3 linked regions of the Pelodiscus sinensis genome follow. The protein of the gene in region 1 purifies or fractionates together with the protein of each later gene. This does not show direct contact. Links are inferred from orthologs where the notes say so. Each region holds a gene or a part of one and is shown in the gene's direction. Other genes may lie near its edges. The genes, in order: XPC, DDB2 and H2AX.

Region 1 (7,457 bases):
ATGCATTCATGGAATAAAAGTTCTTACAGGAAACAGATTTGAAGCTTTCAAGATGTCATAAAAGAACCTAAGCAAATGCTTTAATATGACTCTTAATGTAGACATTTATGAACCATAAAAATCCACACAAATATCATCTCCAGTAGGCATGTAAAATTCCATTTAACTGGTTAGCTGATTAAAGGGAGTGGGTTGAGGGCACTCCCCCAACTCACTGGGCTGGAGTGGTCCCTCACCCGCCATGGCTGGGCTGGAGTGGCCCGTGTGCTGCAGGCAAGGGCTGTTCCAGCCTTGCTACTTCCCATTAAGGGGAATGCTTACCGGGTAACCGGTTACACATTTATATCCCTAATCTCCAGTATGCCCACTGAAACTGGATCTACTGGGGTCCAAACCAGTAAGCTGCATCAGAATTTTAGCTACGGTAGCACTCAGAAGGCCTAAGCAAAGATGACCAATCTGAATGCATTACACCAACATGCCACCAACCACACTGGTGCTGAAGCCATTTCCAAATTTTTATCTGCGGAGTAGACCCTTTGGAATTTGAGGACAATACCACATCGCAAATATCAGCTTCTGAGAGTAAGTGGCAGGTCATCTTCACTGGAAATAGTCAGACATGAGCCTGAGCCCAAATACCATTACTTTTAGAGAATGTTTCAATATTATTATTGATGGGAAACTGAGGCATGGAGAGCTAAAGTGACTTGCTCAAGGTCACTCAAGAGCTCAGTTGCAGAAGTGAGAAACAAACCCAGGTTCTGCTGAGTCCCAGTCTCATTTTATAGCCATTAAGTAACACTACTATAAACTAGTTTCAACTAGATTTCTTCTAAACCATCATGTTGGAAAGACACCCAGTAACGGTAGGAAAGAAAATCCAGCACCTTGTCATTCTAAGATAACAAAATAGAAGACATGAATTTCTAAATTTTATAGATACCAAGAAACACTCAGATAACATGTGCCAGGCAAAAAAAGAAATTTCTATACTCTTTAAATAAAAACTTATGAACTTGACTGGTATACCACAATAGAACCAATCTTTAGGGCTGTGTCTAGACTGGCCAGTTTTTCCGGAAAATCAGCTGCTTTTCCGGAAAAACTTGCCAGCTGTCTACACTGGCCGCTTGAATTTCCGCAAAAGCACTTCCTACTGTAAGAAATCAGTGCTTTTTGCGGAAATACTATGCTGCTCCCGTTCGGGCAAAAGTCCCTTTTGCGCAAAAGGACCGTGTAGACAGCTGAGATTTGTTTTGCGCAAAAAAGCCCCGATCGCGAAAATGGCGAGCGGGGCTTTTTTGCGCAAAAGCGCGTCTAGATTAGCCATGGATGCTTTTGCGGAAAAGCGTCCATGCCAATCTAGACGCTCTTTTCCGAAAATGCTTTTAACGGAAAACTTTTCCGTTAAAAGCATTTCCGGAAAATCATGCCAGTCTAGACGTAGCCCAAGCGTATAATTTGCCTGGGCTTTTAGATGTACCTTTCAATGGTTAAAAGTATACTAGTACTAAATCTTTCTGCAGTGTTTTACTTACATGTAATCTGCCTCGAAGTTCTCGATCATTCCTCATTTTCACATAGATTCGTTCATCTAGACTGAGTCTGATCAGATCCAGTGGCTCCTCTACAGTATTTGTTGTTTGTTGCTAAAAATACAGACAGCAGTTTTTGCGATATACAAAAGCCTCAAAAATTTTATGTTCAAAACCGGTCAGTCTCTTTCACGTATAGGATAAAGGTACCTTTCACTTTCAGGTCAGTTATTGGGTCCAGCCCAACCTGGTAGAAACCAAAAATCATTATCATAGAATGAGCATATTGTGGCCTGTATGAAATGACATAAATTTCAGTTAACTTCCTAGAGGACAGTACTATTATCACAACTGGTACCCTCTATTGACAATTTTAGTGGACAGGCCAGAAGTCTGAACAGAAAGGGTACAAAATATAGCTTACATCCTCCAAATTGAGCTCACATGGTCAAGTCTGAGATACTTTGGCAAGGATGTAAAGAAGTTTACACTGCCATTGATTATGCTGTTCTCATTGGTGGAAAATTATTTGTAGTACTGTAGCACCTAGAACAGAAGTGGGCAACCTACATCCCACATGCAGTCCAATGGGGCTCCAACTGTGGATCGCAGACCCTTTGTCTGCCTCCTTCCCCCACACGCCTCTTGTGCACTTGGGCCCTGCACTTTCAACTCCTTTCCTTCCCTCCCAGCCCATTCAGAGCACCACAAATCACCTGATTTATGCCCCATTCTCACTCCTCTCCCTCAGAGCTTGAACAGTTGCGAACGCTGGAGCGGAGTAGCAGGGAAGGAGTGCGAATCAGGTGATTTGTGGTGCTCCAAAAGTGCTGGGAGGGAGGGGAAAGAGTAGGAAATGCAGGGTTACAGGGTCCCAGTGTGCGAGGGGTGCATGGGTAATGGGAGCAAACAGGGGGTGTGCAGGCCACAAGTGGAACCCCAGCAGGCTGCAGACCACTAGTCATACTGCCCACTGAGATGAAGGAGGTCCAACTCATGAAAATCACTATTATTGGTTGCCCATTGCTGACCTAGCGCTCTAGTCCTCAGCCCCACTATACTCAGCATTGCGAAAACAGTACGAAATAGTGGTCCGTTGCCCCAAAGGGATAATGCATTGGGATCTCTGGAGTAAGTATCCAGTATTTTATAAGCTTCAGAGAGGTAGCTGAGTTAGTCTGTAACTGGAAAAACTTAAAAAACAACGAATAGTCTAGCAGCACCTTAAAGACTAACACAACATGTAGATGGTATCATGAGCTTTCCTGGGCACAATGAATGGTATATTCCATTCATCTGAAGAAGTGGGTTGTACCCACAAAAGCTCATGATACCTTCTAAGGATGTTAGGGACTAGTCAACTATCCGATAAGCAAATGCTTATCGATTAGTCAGTCAACTAGCCGATTCACCTCCACTTGTTACCTCTATCACAGAGGCAGCAAAGGGAAGGAGAAGAAGGGGTACTTCAAAGTGGCAGTGCTGCACAGCTGAACTGAGGATCAGCTGTGCAGTGCTGCCCCTTTGAAACACCGCCACCATGTTTCAGCTGGATTCCCCAGCTGATCTCGGGATCAGCTGTCTCGGGTTCTGCTGAAATGCTGCACTGAACCTGGGGTCAACTGGGGAGTCTCCCCGTGACCCTGGGTTCCACGGCTTTGAAATGCACAAGAGCCCCCACTGGGGACTCTTGTACATTTCAAAGAAGGCACACTGGGTGCAGCCCCAAGCGGGCTCTTGTACATTTCAAAGGAAGAATGCAGAAGTGCCTATCGGCTAGTTGAGTAGTTGATGGAAGTTCTATTGACTAGTCAATTAACCACAATTTAAATATCCTTAATACCATCTACATGTTTTGTTAGTCTTTAAGGTGCTGCTAGACTATTTGTTGTTTTTTAAATTTTTCCAGTATTTTATATTCCTTCCCCATTACTTCTTCAGCTTCACTTTCAACAAATCAGACTGCAGTAGAAGTACAAAACATAACAAAATCATACATCTCTTAAGCTTGATAAGAGCACTGCCAATACTGAGGCTCCAGGAGACTGAAACCAGCACTGAAATGACACTAAGACCACAGAGATGTTCGATGTTTTTCAATCACGCAATTAACGGCAAAGATCAACCTAATGAAGACTGAAACAGAAGGAAACGTTTTGATGTAAGCTGCAGTACTGAGAGGTTAAAGATTTGCTGCTCCACAGGGGACTATGGAGTCCGTCTCAAGTCAAAGGCTGCAGCTTTCTGAAACCCTAACCCTTTGCCTGCTCTGCCTTAGTTCGGCAGACCAGGAAAACGGAAGCATCTCCGGTCACGCTTGCTCAAGCCCCCATGGGCTGAGCTGGGGCTCAGGGGCGGGGAGGGGCGCGCTATGGAGGGAGCCGTATGCAGCGTGTCTTTGCTGGAGGGCCGCCGTTCCGCTACACTGTGAGCGGCAAGTTGGGAAGGGCCGGGACATGGGAAACTGGGGAGTCAAGAGGGAGAGACCCCACAGGCGCTCGCGCATCCAGCCCCGTTCATCAACCGTCCCTGCTACGGAGAGCAACGGCAACCAGACGGGAGGGATCCCAGGGCAAGGGGAGAACCGAAGCGCCCCTCCCCCCCCGGGCTCGCGCGGGCTCCGAACGGCGAGGAGAGGAAAAGCCGCTCACCTGGTCCACCTCGTCCGCCATCTTTCAAACGCGAGCCCCGCCTCTTCCCGCGCGACGCCGGCGCGTAGAAACGGCGGGTGGCGACGTCACGGTTGGCGTGGGGGGGCGGCCTCCAAGGGAGGCTAGAGCGGCCGGTGCGTTGCTCAGGCTGGGTGGTGGGGGCGGGGCTTGGCGGAGCAGGCGCGGTGTGCGGCTGCGGACCGCTCGGGCTCGTGCCACGTGGTTCCCCCGCTGGTCTGCGGATTTGGCCCCGGCTGTGCCTCCGCGTCTCCCCATTGCGGTCACAGGGCCTAGCTGTGCCTCAGTTCCCTCCCCCCACCTTTCCGTTACCGGGGGGGCTTGTCGATGTGCTCGTCAGCTCCCCCCCCCCCCCCGGCGTGGCGAAGGAAAGCGAACGCAGGTGCCCCATGTTGTTACAGATGGGGAAACTGAGGCACCCGCCCGGGCTCCTTAGGAATTAATGGGCAATGGCTCCGTGGGCGCGAGAGCCGGCCTAAGGCCCGTGCCGAGTGCAGCGGTGCCCCCGGACTGGCGTACAGTGGGGGCGGAGTACAGCTCCAGCCCCGGCCCGCAGGCACCCCCCGGGGCATGAACTGAGGACGGCGTGAGCCCAGGCTGGGCTTCGGGGGCACGCTGGGAGCAGCCCCGGCCAAGAAGGGGCCATTGGTGATCACTGCCCAACAGGCCTTTGCAGCGCCCAGGCAGCTCTGCACAAACGGCAGCCACGGGCGCTATCCGCCGCCCTTGCGGACTGCCTCTCGGCCGGCCGGGACGGAAGAGACGTCAGGCAGGAGGAGGAGACTGAGGCAGGAGCCGGCTGTGCTAGCCCAGCCTCCCCAGAGCCTTCCTGCAGCTCCAGGAGGAGGAGGAGGGCTCAGGGTGCACGTACGCTTCGGAGGTGGGGAGAGCGTGCAAAGGCCTCACCCAGAGAAGGAGGCTGCCTTCATCTCCGCTGGGTTTGCTTTGTGTCCCTCACCAGTCTGTGGTTGCCCCCCTTGCCTTGAGGAAACAGCATGGCCAAGAAGCGCAAAGGTTCCTTGCAGCAAGAGGCTAGCAGCAAGAAATTCAAGGCAGAGCCTGCTGCAGCAGCCACCAGGGCCCTCCAAACTCTCAGGCAAGAAGGAGAGGGTGAGTGTAGACGAAGACTTTCTTGAGCCAGACCCTGTTGCGAGCAGTTGCATAAGCATCATGGAGAATATACTATCAAAGAGAAGCAGCCCCTGGAACTTAGATGGCAGATTGGGGGTGGAAAATTCATTTGGAGGAATATTTCCCCTTCACATAACATGCTCATTTGGAATTACTTTAAAATGACTTTTAAATCATTCCTCTGTGCTGATAAAGGATTTTTGCTACATATTTCAATGGGACATTTAAAATCTCACTTGTCTTGTTAGACTCTCCTCTCATTTAAACGCAATCCTCTAGCCTACTGTCCAATGTGCATTTCTAATTACAGTAGACTGTGAAGAATAAATCAAACTTCTCTGATATTGTTTATTTATAGCTGTATTTATTTTGTGACATTTTTTCTGTAGGGTTTTTATAGGATTTGTTTAAATGAAACATTTATTTAGAATTGTTCTTGTCTCAGTTATTTGCTGGTTTTGAGCTTACTAAAATAAAGCTTTTGAAATATTAAACAGCAGATGAAATCCTTTTAAACCACAATCTCTTTGCATAGCCACTAAATAGTGTAGTGTTCTTTGTGGTGTTTAACTCCATCTGCTGATCTGTTGTCCCTTATACTGTATAATGTGATCATGACTGATTTAGCTTTTTTTTCCAGCCCCATTACAGTCAACATTTCAATGTTACATAAGCAAAATAGTTTTCTCTTGAGAGAAGTTTCTAGTGCTGTCAGGAAACAATCCACAATTTCTAAACATTTCCTTTGTTACAATGAAAGAGGGAGGATCAAATGATTTGATGAAGCTAAGAAAAATAAAGGTTCTGGATAGAGTACTGCTGGCAGCTTTAATAAATACATGTAATTTCAGCATATCTTTAGGGTATTATTTATGTAAAATATAAGCATGGAATTCAGGTCATTCTTAATGCAAATAATGGTAGAATTTGATTGTATATGTGTTTGTGGAAAAGGCTAACTGAAGGGAACACAATATAATCTTAAATCCTAATTCTGTATTTCTTGTTCATCTAACATTGAGGCTTATAGTTAGTATTTCTGTCACCACATCTTCATTTAGTATTTATCTCTAGATTTCACATAGTTGTTGAAGATGATGTGGTGTGACTTTCAAGCAGTCTGTTTCATTCCTTAATTTAGAAGAAGCCCTATGAAATGCTACATTTTCAGAGTGATGTGGTTTTTTTTAACTGCTTTATCTGCTGTATTGGATTTGATCTTGCAAAATGCTTAACTCCTGGTCAATGAAAGTGAAGGCCTCAGGAAATCAGGCCTCTCAAAAACACACCATTCAAGAAATAATGGTTTTAGAGTCATTGTAGGCCTTGATTGAATTCTGTTGAACTCTTCATTAGGGATGTTAAAATGTGTTTGTTTATGTAAACATGTAACCACTGAAAAATTCAGCTGTTACACATTTACATGCATGCAGGAGCTTCCCCTAGCTCCCCATATGTATACGTTAATGTCCCTTGTGTATATGCAAAACCCTTTTAAAGACTGGAGGCCATTAGGGCCTAAGAGTGTGGTGTCATGGATCAATTCACAATATTAGTGCCTTTTTAAAACAAATATTTAAAGTACGAAAACCACTCTCCTTAGTACATTTTCTCTCAAAGTTGCTTTTTAAAAAATTCATTGGATTTGAACCAATATTACTGCTTTCAGAATTGGGCCCATTGTGAATGTCCAGCAATAAATGCAGTATTGCCAGACCCAGATGTTCAAAAATGTGACTCAGACCCCCTGGAATGTATGGGGATTGGCATAAAAATCATAAGACTATAACATCAGAAATCTCTCTCCACTTTTCTTGCTTCTCTCAGGCTTCCAGGAGCTGTATGTTTACAACAGATAATCACTGCTTATTAGAAAATAAAAACATCTTAAAAGTGACCTGCAAAAGTTTCTCCAAAATGGGATCATTATTAAGTAATGAGCTGAATGTCAGACATAGTCACAAGCAGAGGAGTATTCAGCTAGTAAATGACGAAATGCAGCTTTGGAAAAAAATCAGCTCCTTCAAAATTACGTCTGCTGCCCTTCTCTACTATACTGACCAAGAATGCATTGTGGTCGTAGCCCTGATTCTGCAAACACTTAAGCAACTTTATGCAA
Region 2 (7,830 bases), on another chromosome or scaffold:
AAGACCACCTCTCTGGAGTCTGGGTGGACCATCAGTAGGAGAAATCTGGGATAGGAGGCTCTTTCTGCATTTCTTAACACGTTTTCACGTCTGTCAGATAGGGTTGCCAACCCTACAAGATTGTCCTGAAGTCTCCAGGAATTAAAAAAAAATTTTAATTAAAGGTTATGTCATGTAATTAAACCTCCCAGAATGTGTCCACCAGAACTGGCAACCCTAATTTCAGCCAATTAGCTGACCTGTAAGGATCATTGAACCAATCTGGCTGGCTGAAGGGAGACTAAGGGAAGGTCTGGGAGACTCATCTGTTGTTGTTTCTCATACTCCCCCCTCCCCCAAAAAAGTGGAGAAGCCACTCCCCATCCATTTCCTCTTGCCATATTTTAGCTTTTGCTCTTCCTGGTGCAGGAAATCAGGAGTTTCACCATTGCCTTCTTTGGCTGTTGTTTTTGTGTCCCTCCCTGCTCTACCTAACTCATTAGGAGTCTGCAACTTTTTATCTGAAAATGCCATCTACTTTCTGAACAATTCGGTGCTTTTAAGTCCCTAAACTGGAGTTAATGTAGTGTAGCCTGAACCCTCCATGTTCAAGATTCCAAAGTTTATGTCCCTCAAGGCAATTGGCCACGATATATGACATGATTGGGAGTCCTAAGCAGGAATATTTTGCCCCCATCATATACTAATGATTAATAGGAGGCCTTCTGGAGTTATTTGGGACTCTAAGCAATTGCTTAGTCTGCTTTTGCTTACTGCTGGTTCTGAGGGCAGGTTTTATATTTTGGGAGTCAGTGAGACTTGGTGCTCCTCTTTAATTTTTCTCATTAAATTATAGGGTTCCCAATGATGTTCATTCAATAACAGTAACAAGAAAAGACTGAGGACCTTAGGGCTGAAAGGAAAGGGCAGCTCTGCCCAGCCCAGGAACCTTAGGAATCTATTTCTTGGTGCTGTTTTGTTTGCCAAGTGTTCTGATATTTGTAGATATCTGGAACTGATAGATAATTTAAAAGTTGCCTCAGGTTTCCTGGGAGCTAGAATGGTAACTCCTGCATCGTGGGGCCCTTCTGAGATGCATACTATAGAAAAGAGAGTCTAATGTCTGAAACATCTTTTTGTTCCCTTTACTCTGATAATTATGTTTTAACTTGAGTGGTCATCCTAAAACAGTCCCACAGATGGGCCCTGTTTATAATAGATCAAAAAGTACATCCTTTCCACAAAGAGTGTTTGAAAATCCTTACCCAACCTTAAGTTAGCTCCATGGGAAATAATAGGTAGCAAATGAATTTCCCTTTTCATATTTTCAGGGGGAAAAAGAGGTTTGATCAGTGTTTTTCAGCATAGTGTGATGTTCACTCATGGCTTCATTAAATTCCAACATGTTAGTTAAATTACCTACTTTACATGCATTTCCAAAGTATGAAAATGACAGAAACCTTGGGTAATTGTCATAGGAGAAGTGTATCCAGGTCACAGCGTTTGGGATGTGATCTTAGTACACCTTCCTTTTGTACAGGATGGGATTTCATTTTCTGTTTGGGGTTTCGTCTCCTGTGTCCATTTGTCCATGTTGTCTATTACTGATCATGGCATGATGCTCTATTGCTATCTTTATCTCTTCTATCTTTTTCCTTTCTTCTTGGGTAGGAGTGGCTATAAGGAGGCAGAGCCTCCTGGTACAGGAGGAGGTCGAAGAATGTGATATTCTCTATGACATGTTTTCTCCTCTTTTTGGACTACATTCTTGCTTCCATATACTGACCTAAATTGAGTTACTGTGATGTTACTTTCGCATCAAATAGCAAGACTTTGTCACAAATGAGGAGCTTTGGAACAGAGCAGGACAAGAACCACTTGACAGTCAAATCAAGAGAAGGAAGTGGAGATGGCTAGGCCACACTCTCAGAAAACCATCATCCAGCATAGCCCATCAAGCTCTCACATGGAACCCGCAAGGAAAACGCAAAAGAGGAAGACCTCGGACACCTTGGAGAAGATCTGCTGAGATTGAAGGACAACAACTGGGGTACTCCTGGAGTCAGCTAGAAGTTTTGGCTCAAGACAGAGTAAAGTAGATGACCTATGCTCCACTCGGAGTACAAGGGTTTAAGAAGAAGAAGAAGATGTTACTTTCTCTTAAAATGGCATAATCAAGTAGTCAGATAGAAGCAGGAGCTTTTGATTTCTTATAGCAGAGATCAAGGTATTGGGCAGCAAAAAGCCTATTTATACTATATATACCTTTAAGCATACCAAGCCACCAAGTCAGGAGCCACAGTTACAGTGTTTTTTTTTCTTTATCTTGGTACAACTTAATAGAAATGATCATAACCATATAAAAATTATAGGTCACTGACAAAGGATGGAAAAATAAGGATAAGATCCCATCCATCCTACAGTTAACAGGATCCCCAGACTTGGTTGCCTTCGTACTATCAGTGGGTCTTAAGAGACTAAAAATTGTAAATAAAAACAACAAAAATATTATATTCAAGTAAACCCTATCACTGGGATTCCCAATGCATCTGGTTTTCTCCATTCCTGCTTTTTAGATTGTAAGAACTCTAACGCAACTCTTTTAGTGAACAAGTTAGTCCTTAACCAGTAAAAATAATCGCAAAGGAATCTGGTGAATCTCCAGAGTGAAACTAAACCTTGTGTTAGTGTTTGATAAGAAATAATTATTTATTAATTCCATTCTAGCTAAGTGAAAAATCTAAAGGTTGCTATGTGTGTACTCCTCTGGGCAATGAATTTAACGTAAATGAGGTGAATAGGATAGTGTGAGTGTTCGCATCTTTGCTGGAGACAATTTTTCTGCAAGTCTGAGGTAACAGAACCACAGTTTACTACAAATCTGTTGAAGTCAACAGAAGTTTTTCCAACTATTTCAATTGGGTTTTTATCAGGCCTTTTTTTCAGTGGAAAAGATTGAAAATGTACACTTTAAAAATTCTGTGGAAAGCAGGACAGATTAATACTTCAGTAATGTAAACTATAATTTTCTGCTTGCTATTTAATGAGATATTTGAATCTCATGGAACCTCTATCCTCCTTTTGATCTCTCTGCATCTATTGAAGCTGTTGACTAAACTCATCTTGCCTGCCATGAACAAGAGGAGAATTTTCCTATAGTTTCCTTTCCTACAAGTTTAATACTGTAGACTTTCAAGACGTCAATGTGTGTTCAGTGGGCGGATGGCTTGCAGAGAGGTGCTAGTTTGATTTAGTGCCAAATGTGTAGTAGGAGTATTTTGCAAAGACATATAATAAGACAAATTATCATGAAGTGCCTGTGTTGATATTTATATTTATACAGAAATAGATACTTGTTTCTTATGTGTCATGTCATTGTTATTTACAATTTTGTGATGTTATATTCCAGTAGACAAGCATGGTTTGTATGTGTTTTAATGTAGCATAGTGACATGGAAGACAAGCATAAGAGTTCATTGTAACATTTTTTTTTACTAAAACATGGACAAATGGATGAGTGGACTATAGCCTTTCTGTAAAGTTATCAACATATGAATAACAGGCTGATATCACACTAGATGCAATGGAATGTAATTTTAAGTGGGGGTTGTTTTGTCCTAATTTCTTGAATGTTGTTAAATGGAGCATTAACAAAGGTCCAGTGATCTGATTTTGTCATTTGATTTCAGCTGTGATTTGTACCATATCTTCTATTTTTTTAGACACATCTTAAACAGAATATGTGAATGTTGACATTTTGAATTCATATTTTGTATTATAAAATCCACTATGGACATCGTCATGCAGCTCCAGTGTCTTTGTTTGGTGCTCTAGAAATGCATACGATTGAGATTGTTTGTGGGGCCCATGTCTAACAATGTGATTAATATATTTGATGACAACCTAAGTCTTTTGGTAACCTGTTGTCTGTGACTAGACTGTTCTGATCCACAGGCAGTTCCAATAAAAGTGAGTATGGTAAAAGATCTACTCACATGTACTCCAGAAGAGAGTCAGGCTGGTTGTGTTAATTTTGTTGCTGATTCTAAGGTGCAGATAAAAATGTTACTTTCCGCTAGAATTCTTTCCACAGCAGGGAGGCTGTGGGATTTGGGCAATGTTTGCTAGTGATAAAAAATGGGGATCCTAATTCCAGGCTGTTTGTGTGTGACTTCTTTGTTCCAGCATCATGCAAGGCACTTTAGAAAATTGTCTGTTTTATATTTGTCTGTTACTCTGAAACTGCGTTTAGAAGATTTAGGATAGATATTGGTTGCTGTGCCTTTGCCTGGTGTGGTCAGAGAGAGTTGTAACTGCAAGTGTTTGAGAAGAACTAACGTTTGTAGTTTGCATTGTTGTAACACTACTGGCACAAATGATTTCTGACCAAAAAGCCAAAAGAACTGTTCCAAAACCATTTATTCTGTTACTTCCCACATTAGACTAGGAATCGTGTCTGAGAAGCTGGAGAGCTAGGGGGTGGGGAGTGCTGAGGCCTAATTTCTAGGTAAGGTTTACTGGGCTCAGTATGGTGGTGCAGAAGGTAGGACACAGCCAAGCTGGGCAGGGCTGATACAGCCCCAGGCATGTATCTGAAAGGCCTTGAGAGTTCACCACCTTTTGCTGAGCCCCTCTAGCCCTTGATGGGGACGATGCAGCTCTCTGGCCAGGAAGGCCCCAGCGGAGGCCTCGCTGCTCTGCGGAGATTCTAGGGCTACCAGGACGGAGACGACTCCCCCCTTCCCCGGCTGGATCCGGGTGTCTCCTTTCTCCCGGGAAGGGGCCGGGAACGCTGCAGCAGGAAAGCTCGCGGCGGGAGCAGCAGCAACAGGCCGCTTCCCTACTGCGGAGCCGGGACCCCGAGCGCCGCGCCCCCCGCGGCCGGGTTATGAAACAGTCGGGCCCGCCCTCGCCCTGCGCGCTGGGGGCTGGGCCAGACCGGGTAGCGGAGGCCGCGGGAACCAGGTGAGGAGCGCGACCCGCAATCCTCTCCCGCCGTGCCAGTCCGAGGGCCTTGCGGGAGACCGGCGTAGCAGCCAGCGGCTCGGAGCAGGGCGGGGTCCTGCCCAGGACTCCTGAGGTGCCGTCAGCTGCCTGCTTGCGCCCGGTGCCCTGCCCGAGTGGTTACCGCTGGGAGGCTGTAAGGGAAACTGAGGCGGGGAAGGCCTCCTTCCAGATCACACGGTGAGGCACTGGCAGAGTCAGGAATACAACCCACGAGACCTGGCTCCTGTTCCATCAGCCCCTCTCTCCGTACAGCCTCCTTCCCCTCTGGTACGTGCAGAGAGCACATGGGAAACCTCCCAGTATGCACCTGGTGAATCCTCTTCCTAGCATTGCCCTAGCATGTGCCCCACCCGTCAGCTTTAGAAATGGTCCCCTCTCCAGAGAGGGGTGCCCCCCGGGTGGCACTGCAGGAGATGGGCTCTGGCTAAAGCCGCGGGGCCTGGTTTTAAGCGTGAAAGGAATCAACCAGTAAATCTTTGAAGACCGTTTATGCCATGCTGCCAGTCTGTGGCTTGTGACAGTCCAAAGTCACTGGTGCTCCTCACATTCAGCCTCGGATATACTGTTCCTAATATACTCTGCTTGATTCACACTTCAGTTCTTTCCTAAACCAGGTCATATGACAACAATGGCAACAATGTGATGTGTGGGACAGTTAAAATGGAATTGGTGCTAACTAAGCTAGTTCCTGGATGCAGATTTAAGGGCTGGAGACAACAGGGTGTGTTGTGAGTCAGAAGTGAGGGATATCAGCAGGGCTGGGTGATCAGGATTTAGAAAAGCAATGTTCTGCAGGGGATGGGCTGAGCTGCGTGGGCCTCCAAATGGGAATAGCAAAGTGCTGGAAGTGGGCATTGGGGTGCTATTTGGAGAAGCTTGCACAGTGTATGTCTAACTATATTTAGCTATAGTCAGACATCTGTGACATTTATTCACAAACTAAAAATAAAATATGCCACTGTCAAAGGATCAACTTCTATTATATTTTTCATAGAAGCCCCTTGGGATCTGCCATTGAAATGTTCTACTTTGGAATCTCCTAGGTGGAGTAAAAGGCTTTTCACTTTGCGTTGTGGTGGGGGAGTTTAATTTGTTAGTATAAAGCAATGTTTCTCAACCAGTGGTATGAGTACCCTTAAGGGTACTCGAGAGAAGTCTGGGGGGGTACGTCAACGCAACTGAAATTTGGAGAAAACTGAATTTTTGTTTTACGTTTTACAGCAGACTGTTCTTTTTGTACTTTCTACACCCAAAAATTTCATTGCCCACCTGGCTACGATGAAGTTGTTTAAACAAACGTGTTGCAATGGTAGAAAAAAAAATCGTGTGTCTGAAAACTGTAGGTACTGGGGGTACTTATAATTGTTTTTAAAGTGGTACTTTATAAAAACAAGGTTGAGAAACACTGGTATAAAGCGTTAAAATAGAGGTCTACATTTGTGTTGTGTCCCAAAATCTGTATGTGTGTGTCAAGGAAAAGGAGGGAGTGCCCAGCATTTTCAGTTTTCTCACCACCATAATATTTAGGATCTTGATTCATGGAAATTTGAGTTGACTAAAAAATAAGTTTTGACCGTGCTTGGTGCCAGAGCCTAGTGAAGCCTCTTCAAAAAGCAGTGAGTCTCACCAGGGAGCTCATGTAGCAATGTGGGCTGCTGCAAAGACGCCTATGGCATTTTGTGCAGCTCAGTGGTTTTCAAATTTGAGAATTTTGTTGAGAGAGAGCAGATACCTGATTGCTTTAAAAGCTAATTGTTAAAGGCATAAAGAGCAGCTTTTTGATCCCTATTACCCTCCCCACAACAGTGGAAGCAAAAAGCCAGAAGCAATGACAAATCCTACTTTCCCAATTTTGTTTTTTGTTTTGTTTTTGTACTTTTAGGAAGGCAGACAGAATGACACCTGAGAACCAATCAAAAGACAAGATGCATGCGAGGGTGCATGAGCATCATCTGGAAGAAAATGCACAGTCAACTTGGAAGAGGAAACGAGACCATGAAGAACTGGAGAATGAGCCACAAGCAAAAAGATTGTTTCTGAGGAAAGCAGCCAAACCCCCAGGGAAAATTGGTAATGTTCCCTCAGATTCTCACTCTTTCTGCCAATCAGGACTTCAGAGAATGAAGGGCGTAAACCAGACTTTCAGATAGCTGAGGTGGGGAGGTGTCAGGGAACTAGCAGCCTGTTCAGACAAGACTTTTTTGAACTGAGTTATGTTTCTAAGCGAGGGGTGGAGATATGTGGGGACATTATTTTCAGCTATCTGTTTGGAAACTACTGTTTGTGTGTGTGTGCATGTGCATGCATGTGTGCATATGCAGCATTTTATAAGTCATTGCTTTTATAAATACATTAAAAGCAAGAGGAAGACCAAGGACAGGGTAGGCCCACTGCTCAGTGAGGAGGGAGAAACAGTAACAGGAAACTTGGAAATGGCGGAGATGCTCAATGACTTCTTTGTTTCGGTCTTCACCGAGAAGTCTGGAGGTGTGCCTAACGTAGTGAATACAAGCAGAGAGAGGGTAAGTTTAGAAGATAGGATACCCAAAGAACAAGTTAAAAATCACTTAGGAAAGTTAGATGTCAGCAAGTCACCAGGTCCTGATGAAATGCATCCCAGGATACTCAAGGAGCTGATAGAGGAGGTATCTGAGCCTTTAGCTATGATCTTTGAAAAATCATGGAAGACAGGGGAGATTCCAGAAGACTGGAAAAGGGCAAATATTGTGCCCATCTATAAAAAGGGGAATAAGAACAACCCAGGAAACTACAGACCGGTCAGTTTAACGTCTGTCCCAGGGAAGATAATGGAGCAGGTAATTAAGGAAATCATATGCAAACACT
Region 3 (6,766 bases), on another chromosome or scaffold:
TTGCAAACAGCTGGGTGTAAAAGAGAGGAGCTGCTGCCCTGTAAATTGAGCCCAACAGAAAACTGTCTCCTGCCAAACAGCAATAATAATGTCCTGGGAACTGGCATCATACTAGAACAGGCCTGGGCAAAATATGGCCTGCGGAGACCAGCAGGCTCCCCTGCTTGCCCAAGAGCCCTGCACCCCACTCAGAAACACAGCTATGGGGTGCTTTCTCTTTGAGTCCAGATGGGAGGGGGGGAGATTCAGCCGCTGCTCCCACCCCCAGCACAATCCTATTGGCCAGTTTCTGGACAGACACTGGCCAATGGGAGCTGTTTGTGTGAATAACAGGCAGTCACAAAGGACAACCCTCCTGCTCACACTCAAGCACATGGCCGAGTAGGCAAAAACACTTTAAGCTCTGTAAGTCTTTAGCTCTGCAGGCAGGCTGGCATGTCATCTGGGGAGAACCTGCCTCTGGCACCTCAGCCTCTCCCTTCCCCAACCACTCCTGCCCCGCTACTCCACATGAACCCATACTCCCTCCCAGATCTGGCACCCTAATCTCTTGCCTGAGATCACAGTCCCCTCCTACCCTAGGTCACAACTACCTGATTCACCCAAACTCCCTCCCAGACTCCATTCTTCCTCCTGCACTCCAATCCTTTACCCCAAGCTCCCTTCTGTACCCAACCTCCTTCCCAGACCCCACTTCTCCTCCATTAATACCATGGAAGAGTACAGCTCTTGGCTGCTTTCCAAAATCTTGGGAGCGGCCCCCCATCACAAGTTATTGTATACCCAGTCCTAGAAAGAAGGTGTGAACTGTAGAGTCCTGATTGTAAGAGCCCTAAAAATCTACAGATATCTGCTTTATATATATATGTGGGTATCCAGATTTGTGAATGTGGAGGCAAATATCTGCAGCTCATTTTTATGGACACAGATGCAAATTTTATATCCACGCAGGGGTCTAATGATGGGACCTTTTAGTACTATGAAAGCTTAATACAGACTAGGGATATAAAGAAGTCAAGTATACAATGAACAGATAAGCCTAGGCTCATTGGTAATCTTCTTTACTATTTGCATTTCTTCCCCCCCCCCCCCCCCCCCCCCCCCCCCCCGCTTGCTGTCTTGTATCAGGGGGTGAGGAGGGAAACAGGAGCCAATGCTAGGAGGGAGCTGGCTTAAAAGCTGGTTTTCACCGCAGCACTGGCTATGCGGTGCTGCCCTCCCCCTCTTCCCCTCCCCTCCCATTTCTGCCTTTATTAGACATACCAGTGTGGGGTGAAGAGGGCAGGGGAGGCTGCTGTGAAGTAGTCTGCTCGTTGCAGGCCCAGGTTCTGAGCTCCCTACGCCTCTGTCTGTGGTAAGCCTGGATCCATTGTGGACAGGGGCTGCTGCCGGGCCAGCTTCTTTTCAGGGCAACCCAGGCTGCTGTGGACAGAAGCTCCTTCCTGGCTGCCTTTCTTCCTCCTCTTCCCACTCTCCAGCAGCCTCTGTGTGCGGGGAGTTTGGACCCTTGCAGACAGGGCTGCTGCCACTCCGTGGCTCCCCTTGTGGACTGGCTCCTGCCTGGCACCCCATGCTGCTGCCTTTTTATACCGAGGCAGCAGTGCAGAATGTTAGAGTGCTCCCCAGGAGTGCACCCCAATAATCTTGCCCAGTCTTCTCATTCCCACACACCCCTTTGTAAGTAGACATAGAAATATTTTAAATTAACTCCTGCAAATGACCAACCTCTGTAAGTAACACAGAAGTACCATGATGTACTGTAGTTTGTTTGACAAAGGGACCTTGTCGGCATATCACTCAGTAAAGTATTTAGCAGAGCAAACTGGCCCCGCCCCTGGGGCCTATAGAATAGTTGAGTAAACAATAGGAATTCATGCAGTTACTCAACTGTTGAATTAACCAGTATCTAACACCAAGTCTGTGTGTGTGATGTAAAATCTGCCATACTGAGTGATCTACTCACAGTGCAGCTGTCCCTAATATGTTTGGGTGATGCTTTGTAGATGGAGTTAGAACTGTGTTAACAAATAATGTTATAGCCCTGTAAAGAGCAGAGTTGAAACACTGTTCCTTAGTAGTGTTATAAAACACAGGGAAGAGTGAAGTGTTTATGCCATCTCTAAGGTTCTGTTATCAGTTCTATGCTACACGAACTGTCAATTTTCTATGTGTGGGAATTTCTATGTTGCCTTGAAATTGCCACAACTTTCTGCAACCCAGCTGACTGCCCCTCACACTACCCACAAAACATTCTTCTGGCCCCTGCCTTATTTGAGTGGCTACACATCTGAGACTCCTATAGGACTACTATGGCTACGTCAACACTGCTGGCTTCTTGCGCAAGAACAGCTGTTCTTGCGCAAAAACTTGTGGAGCATCTACACTGCACACGCGTTCTTGCACAAGTACATTTACAGTAAAGTGTCGGAACAGAGGGCTCCTTGTGCAAGAGTTATTCCTCTCCTTACGAGGAATAAGCCCTCTTGGGCAAGAGCTCTTGCTTTTGCACAAAAGCACATGGTAGCGTGGACGTGCTCTTGCACAAGAATTTTTGTGCAAGAACTCTTGCGCAAAACAGTTCTTGCGCAAGAAGCCTGCAGTGTAGACGTAGTCTACATGTATAGGATTACTCCAGATGTCTTCCCCCCCCCCCCCGCTTTTATAGAGAGATTTAGCCTCTTTGGTGCAACTGGACTAATATTTCAATGTTCTTTTCAGGCTCAATCCTGGAACAGGGAAGCTGGAAATGAGCTACTCCAAATTCAAAACCAAAAGTCTTTCAGCACTGGGAAAGTATATTCTAAAGGTACCTTGAGAGATAAGTAAAAATTGTCTTCTGTTATCAACTACACACTCTATGCCACGGGCACACAGTGCCTAGAGGGAACCACCAGCTGTTTTGAACAGTGAATGATTTTCCGCACTCCTAGGTCCCAATTGGCCTGGGAATGGGGGTGTGCATGAAGTCTTCCACTCCCCACCCAGAGGGATCCGCCCCTTTCTGCCCAAGGCTTCCGTCCCTCCTAAGGGGCCAGAGCCAGTCTGCAACCATGAATTAAAATTCATGAAGTGGTGCCCCCATCCAAAGGGGTTATTGCCCACCCCTGCTCTAAGTAGTAAACACATAGGTTGTGTCTACATTGGCAAGATTTTGCTCAAAAGCAGTCGCTTTTGTGCAAAATCTTGCCACCTGTCTACACTGGCTGCGAGTATTTGTGCAAGAACAGACATTGTAATGTACAAAATCAGTGCTTCTTGTGCAAATACTCTGACGCTCCCACTCAGGGATAAGCCCTCTTGTGCAAGTATTCTTGTGCAAGAGGCCAGTGTAGACAGGCAACGTTAATTTCTTGCACAAGAAAGCCCAATGGCTAAAATGGCCATCGGAGCTTTCTTGCGCAAGAGAGCGTCTACACTGGCACGGATGCTTTTGCGCAAAAGCACATGACAGTGTAGACACTCTCTTTGTGAAAAATCATGCCAGTGTAGACGCAGCCATAATGTATCTAATTAAAGATCGATTAACATACTTCTCTTCCCCAGGTATCAGAAACCTTTCATATAGTGGATGTGAGACAGAAATTAGACGAAGATGAAGAATACACAGAGTGCAACAACATGACGCTCATTAACTTTGTTATAAAGCTTATTGGACCAACCTCAGAGCAAACCCTCACTGTTCTGCTGCTTCTTATCCAGGTCAGGCAAATGCTCCCGCAGACAGGAGGGCCTACTCTACTGTGGATGTAGGTCCACACTAAAATTCTCAGGCACAGGGAACATTTTGATTTCACCCCTTCACTTATCTTTACATCTTTACTTCCACCATACCAAGTAGCTTGTTAAAGCGGGGGCTGTCTCTCACCTGCCTGAGTTAGCTATGGCTCTGCAATACAGAACCATACTGCTCCTCGGAGAGAATAATCTTGCCCAGTCTTCTCATTCCCACACACCCCTTTGAAAGTAGGCATGGAAATATTTTAAATTAACTTCTGTGTTACTTACAGAGGTGGGTCATATGATGTAGTTTGTTTGACAAAGGGATCTTGTCTTTATACCACTCGGTCAAGTATTTAGCACAAATGGATTCCAATGATCTTCCTTATTTTTTTCCTCTGTAGGTAGTGGGCAGCACCATTGCCTTTTTGATCCGGTACCAACTAGTACGCTTGTTCTATGATGTTTGACTGCGCTGCCAGTGGTAAGGGAAACTCCAGCACTTCCTGATCTACCTTTTACTTTTTCAGTTCCCTGCCACATGGCAGCAGGAATCTCGCTCTGTCTCAGAGTCACAGGCCCCCTTCCCAGATGTGAGTAAAGACTCTTACACTGGCCTCTCTCAGCTGAATTTTTTTCTGTGATGGGGTTGGGCAGAGGCCATTGGTCGGATGCGGGTGTTAATGTTACCTGAGTGTTGTGGACCTGCAGTGTCGTTAAACCAAGGACCAGATGCCAATAGGACGTGAAGTTTCTTACCTGTGGGCAGGGGAAGAGGGCTCCATGTCTATTTGTTCTGTCACTCAAGCAATTGCCCAAAGGGGGAGAGCATCCTACTCACACGTTACAGAATGGGGGTCTGCCCCCGGGGGCGGGGCAGAATGGATTCACCCTGGATGCTCGCACAGTGGCAGCCCCTGCCAAGGGCCAGTTCACGGGGTGGAACCCTGGACACTGGCAACGAGAATGAGGCTGCTCGGTTCCTTATTAGGCTTTGGGCTCCGTTTGAATTTGGCGCCCTGCCTTCTGATTGGCCTGTTCGGGCAGCCAATAAATGCATACCGTTTGGCCAGCTCCTGAGCCGAACCAATCCGTGAGAGAATCTGAATGACCAGCCAATGGCGGAATGCAGCGTCATCGCGCAGCGGCTATAAAAGAAAGCGCGCGCGGCGGGCGCCGGGGCAGTTGGCTGTGGCAGGCAGTGGCCCTTGCTGACGTGGGAGGCGATCGCTGGGCCGCGTGCGTCCTTTTCCTGCCCCCTTCTGTTCTCGCGCCATGTCCGGCCGCGGCAAGAGCGGCGGCAAGGCCCGGGCCAAGGCTAAGTCCCGCTCGTCGCGCGCCGGCCTGCAGTTCCCCGTGGGGCGCGTGCACCGGCTGCTGCGGCGCGGGCACTACGCCGAGCGCGTGGGCGCGGGCGCGCCGGTCTACCTGGCCGCCGTGCTCGAGTACCTGACGGCGGAGATCCTGGAGCTGGCGGGCAACGCGGCGCGCGACAACAAGAAGACGCGCATCATCCCGCGGCACCTGCAGCTGGCGGTGCGCAACGACGAGGAGCTCAACAAGCTGCTGGGGGGCGTCACCATCGCGCAGGGCGGCGTCCTGCCCAACATCCAGGCCGTGCTGCTGCCCAAGAAAGCGGGCGGCGGGCCCGGCCCGGCCAAGGGCGGCAAGAAGGGCGGCGGGCAGCAGTCGCAGGAGTATTAGCCGCCCGCCCGCCCCCCCCAAAGGCCCTTTTCAGGGCCGCCCCAGGCTCAGCGAAAGAGCTGCGGATCCGGGGCGGGTTTCCTGGAGGGGCGGCCCCCTCGCTGCGCTGCGCCCCGCTAGGCAGGCGTTCCCCGGGCCACGGCCGCGCGCTGCACACCAGGGGAACGAGGCGAGGTCCCCGTGATCTGCCCGGTGCCAGCGCCAGGGGCTTCCGTATTTCTGGGAACTGAGCCGTAACGCTGGTAGGCGGGACGAGCGGGCTCCACGTGCACAGGTGGGGCCGCGCCCCGAGCGTTGCTTGCGGCCAGGCTGGAGTCCGTCCTGTTACGGTGCCCGGAGAACTGCGAAACGCTGGCACCAGGAAGCAGCTGTGGCACAGACTGTTTAGTTGCCTGGTCCCACGTATCACCGATCTGAGGCTCTACCCGTTTAATGTTAAGGCTGAGAACATCTTGTCTGGGATCAAGCACAACCATCCTAAGTATTGTAAACTACGGAGCCCACGGACTCCACAGTGGGAGACTTTCACTTAGCAGCGATTACACTACTGTATTGGTGTACTCTAAAATGTTACTATTTACTAGTTTCATGCTGCAGTGAAACCAACTTTGATCTGTTGCAAGACAGCAGCTGCACACAGCAGCTTGCTCCACCTACATAATCAAACCAGAGACAATTTGAATTAGTACAAAACTTGTTAGTAAAACATCCAGTATTTCTTTCTGCCATGCCCTTTAATTTGGATACTTCTAAATCTGCTGTAGTAGCCTTTCATTGCTTGTATATCCCTGAAAATGTACTGTGTGTAATAAAATAGTGGCCAGCAACAAAAAAATGAATCTTAGTAATTGGTTGTACACAGCATGGAAAAGAGCACTGCTCAAAACTTACATTTTCCTAGTTTGTGCATTGAATTTGAAGGGTGGAGGTTCAATTACATTTTTCAAATGTGAGAAAATGTAATTGTACCTACAAAATTAAATCAAATACACAGTTTGGACAGCTGTCAGGCACAATCCCTGCTATTTGGAGGATTTCAAGGGCATATTTCATGCACATAAGAAATTACATGGCCCTGGAACCAGTTCCACATGAAAGTAAAATAGTTAGTAGGTGTTAGAGATATTTAAACATGGTTTCATTTACAAAACACCATCTCTGCATTTCACAATTTGAAAGGCCTCTACAATACATTCGTACTGGCTTATAAAATGAAGGGGATTAATCACTAGTTGAAATGCATATTCTCTTCCACTATGGAGTTTGCTGCTAAGCTTGGAAGGAAATTAAGTTGATCAAAGAAAATTCATGATACGTTGCATTTGTAGACACCATTGCTCTGGTT

Evidence for each region.
Region 2: the proteins of XPC (region 1) and DDB2 purify together in Homo sapiens (affinity purification with western blotting; 5 studies listed by BioGRID and IntAct, with this or other methods). This does not show direct contact. The link is inferred for Pelodiscus sinensis from reciprocal best matches to the Homo sapiens genes XPC and DDB2.
Region 3: the proteins of XPC (region 1) and H2AX purify together in Homo sapiens (affinity purification with mass spectrometry; 3 studies listed by BioGRID and IntAct, counting the BioPlex papers as one, with this or other methods). This does not show direct contact. The link is inferred for Pelodiscus sinensis from reciprocal best matches to the Homo sapiens genes XPC and H2AX.

Annotation. Positions count from the first base shown.
Region 1 is NC_134721.1:22,033,800-22,041,256, forward strand, and holds the start of XPC (DNA repair protein complementing XP-C cells), read left to right. Parts: upstream 1-4,367; 5' UTR 4,368-5,202; coding exon 5,203-5,317; intron 5,318-7,457. Other genes in the region: U6 snRNA-associated Sm-like protein LSm3, read right to left, coding at 1,542-1,652, 4,190-4,210. UniProt on the Homo sapiens protein: Involved in global genome nucleotide excision repair (GG-NER) by acting as damage sensing and DNA-binding factor component of the XPC complex. Has only a low DNA repair activity by itself which is stimulated by RAD23B and RAD23A.
Region 2 is NC_134714.1:84,892,473-84,900,302, forward strand, and holds the start of DDB2 (DNA damage-binding protein 2), read left to right. Parts: upstream 1-4,790; 5' UTR 4,791-4,867; coding exon 4,868-4,944; exon of another isoform or gene 4,945-5,253; intron 5,254-6,868; coding exon 6,869-7,056; intron 7,057-7,830.
Region 3 is NC_134736.1:119,846-126,611, forward strand, and holds H2AX (histone H2AX), read left to right. Parts: upstream 1-4,484; 5' UTR 4,485-4,992; coding exon 4,993-5,421; 3' UTR 5,422-6,256; downstream 6,257-6,766. Other genes in the region: DPAGT1 (UDP-N-acetylglucosamine--dolichyl-phosphate N-acetylglucosaminephosphotransferase), read left to right, coding at 2,719-2,806, 3,544-3,699, 4,122-4,187. UniProt on the Homo sapiens protein: Variant histone H2A which replaces conventional H2A in a subset of nucleosomes. Nucleosomes wrap and compact DNA into chromatin, limiting DNA accessibility to the cellular machineries which require DNA as a template.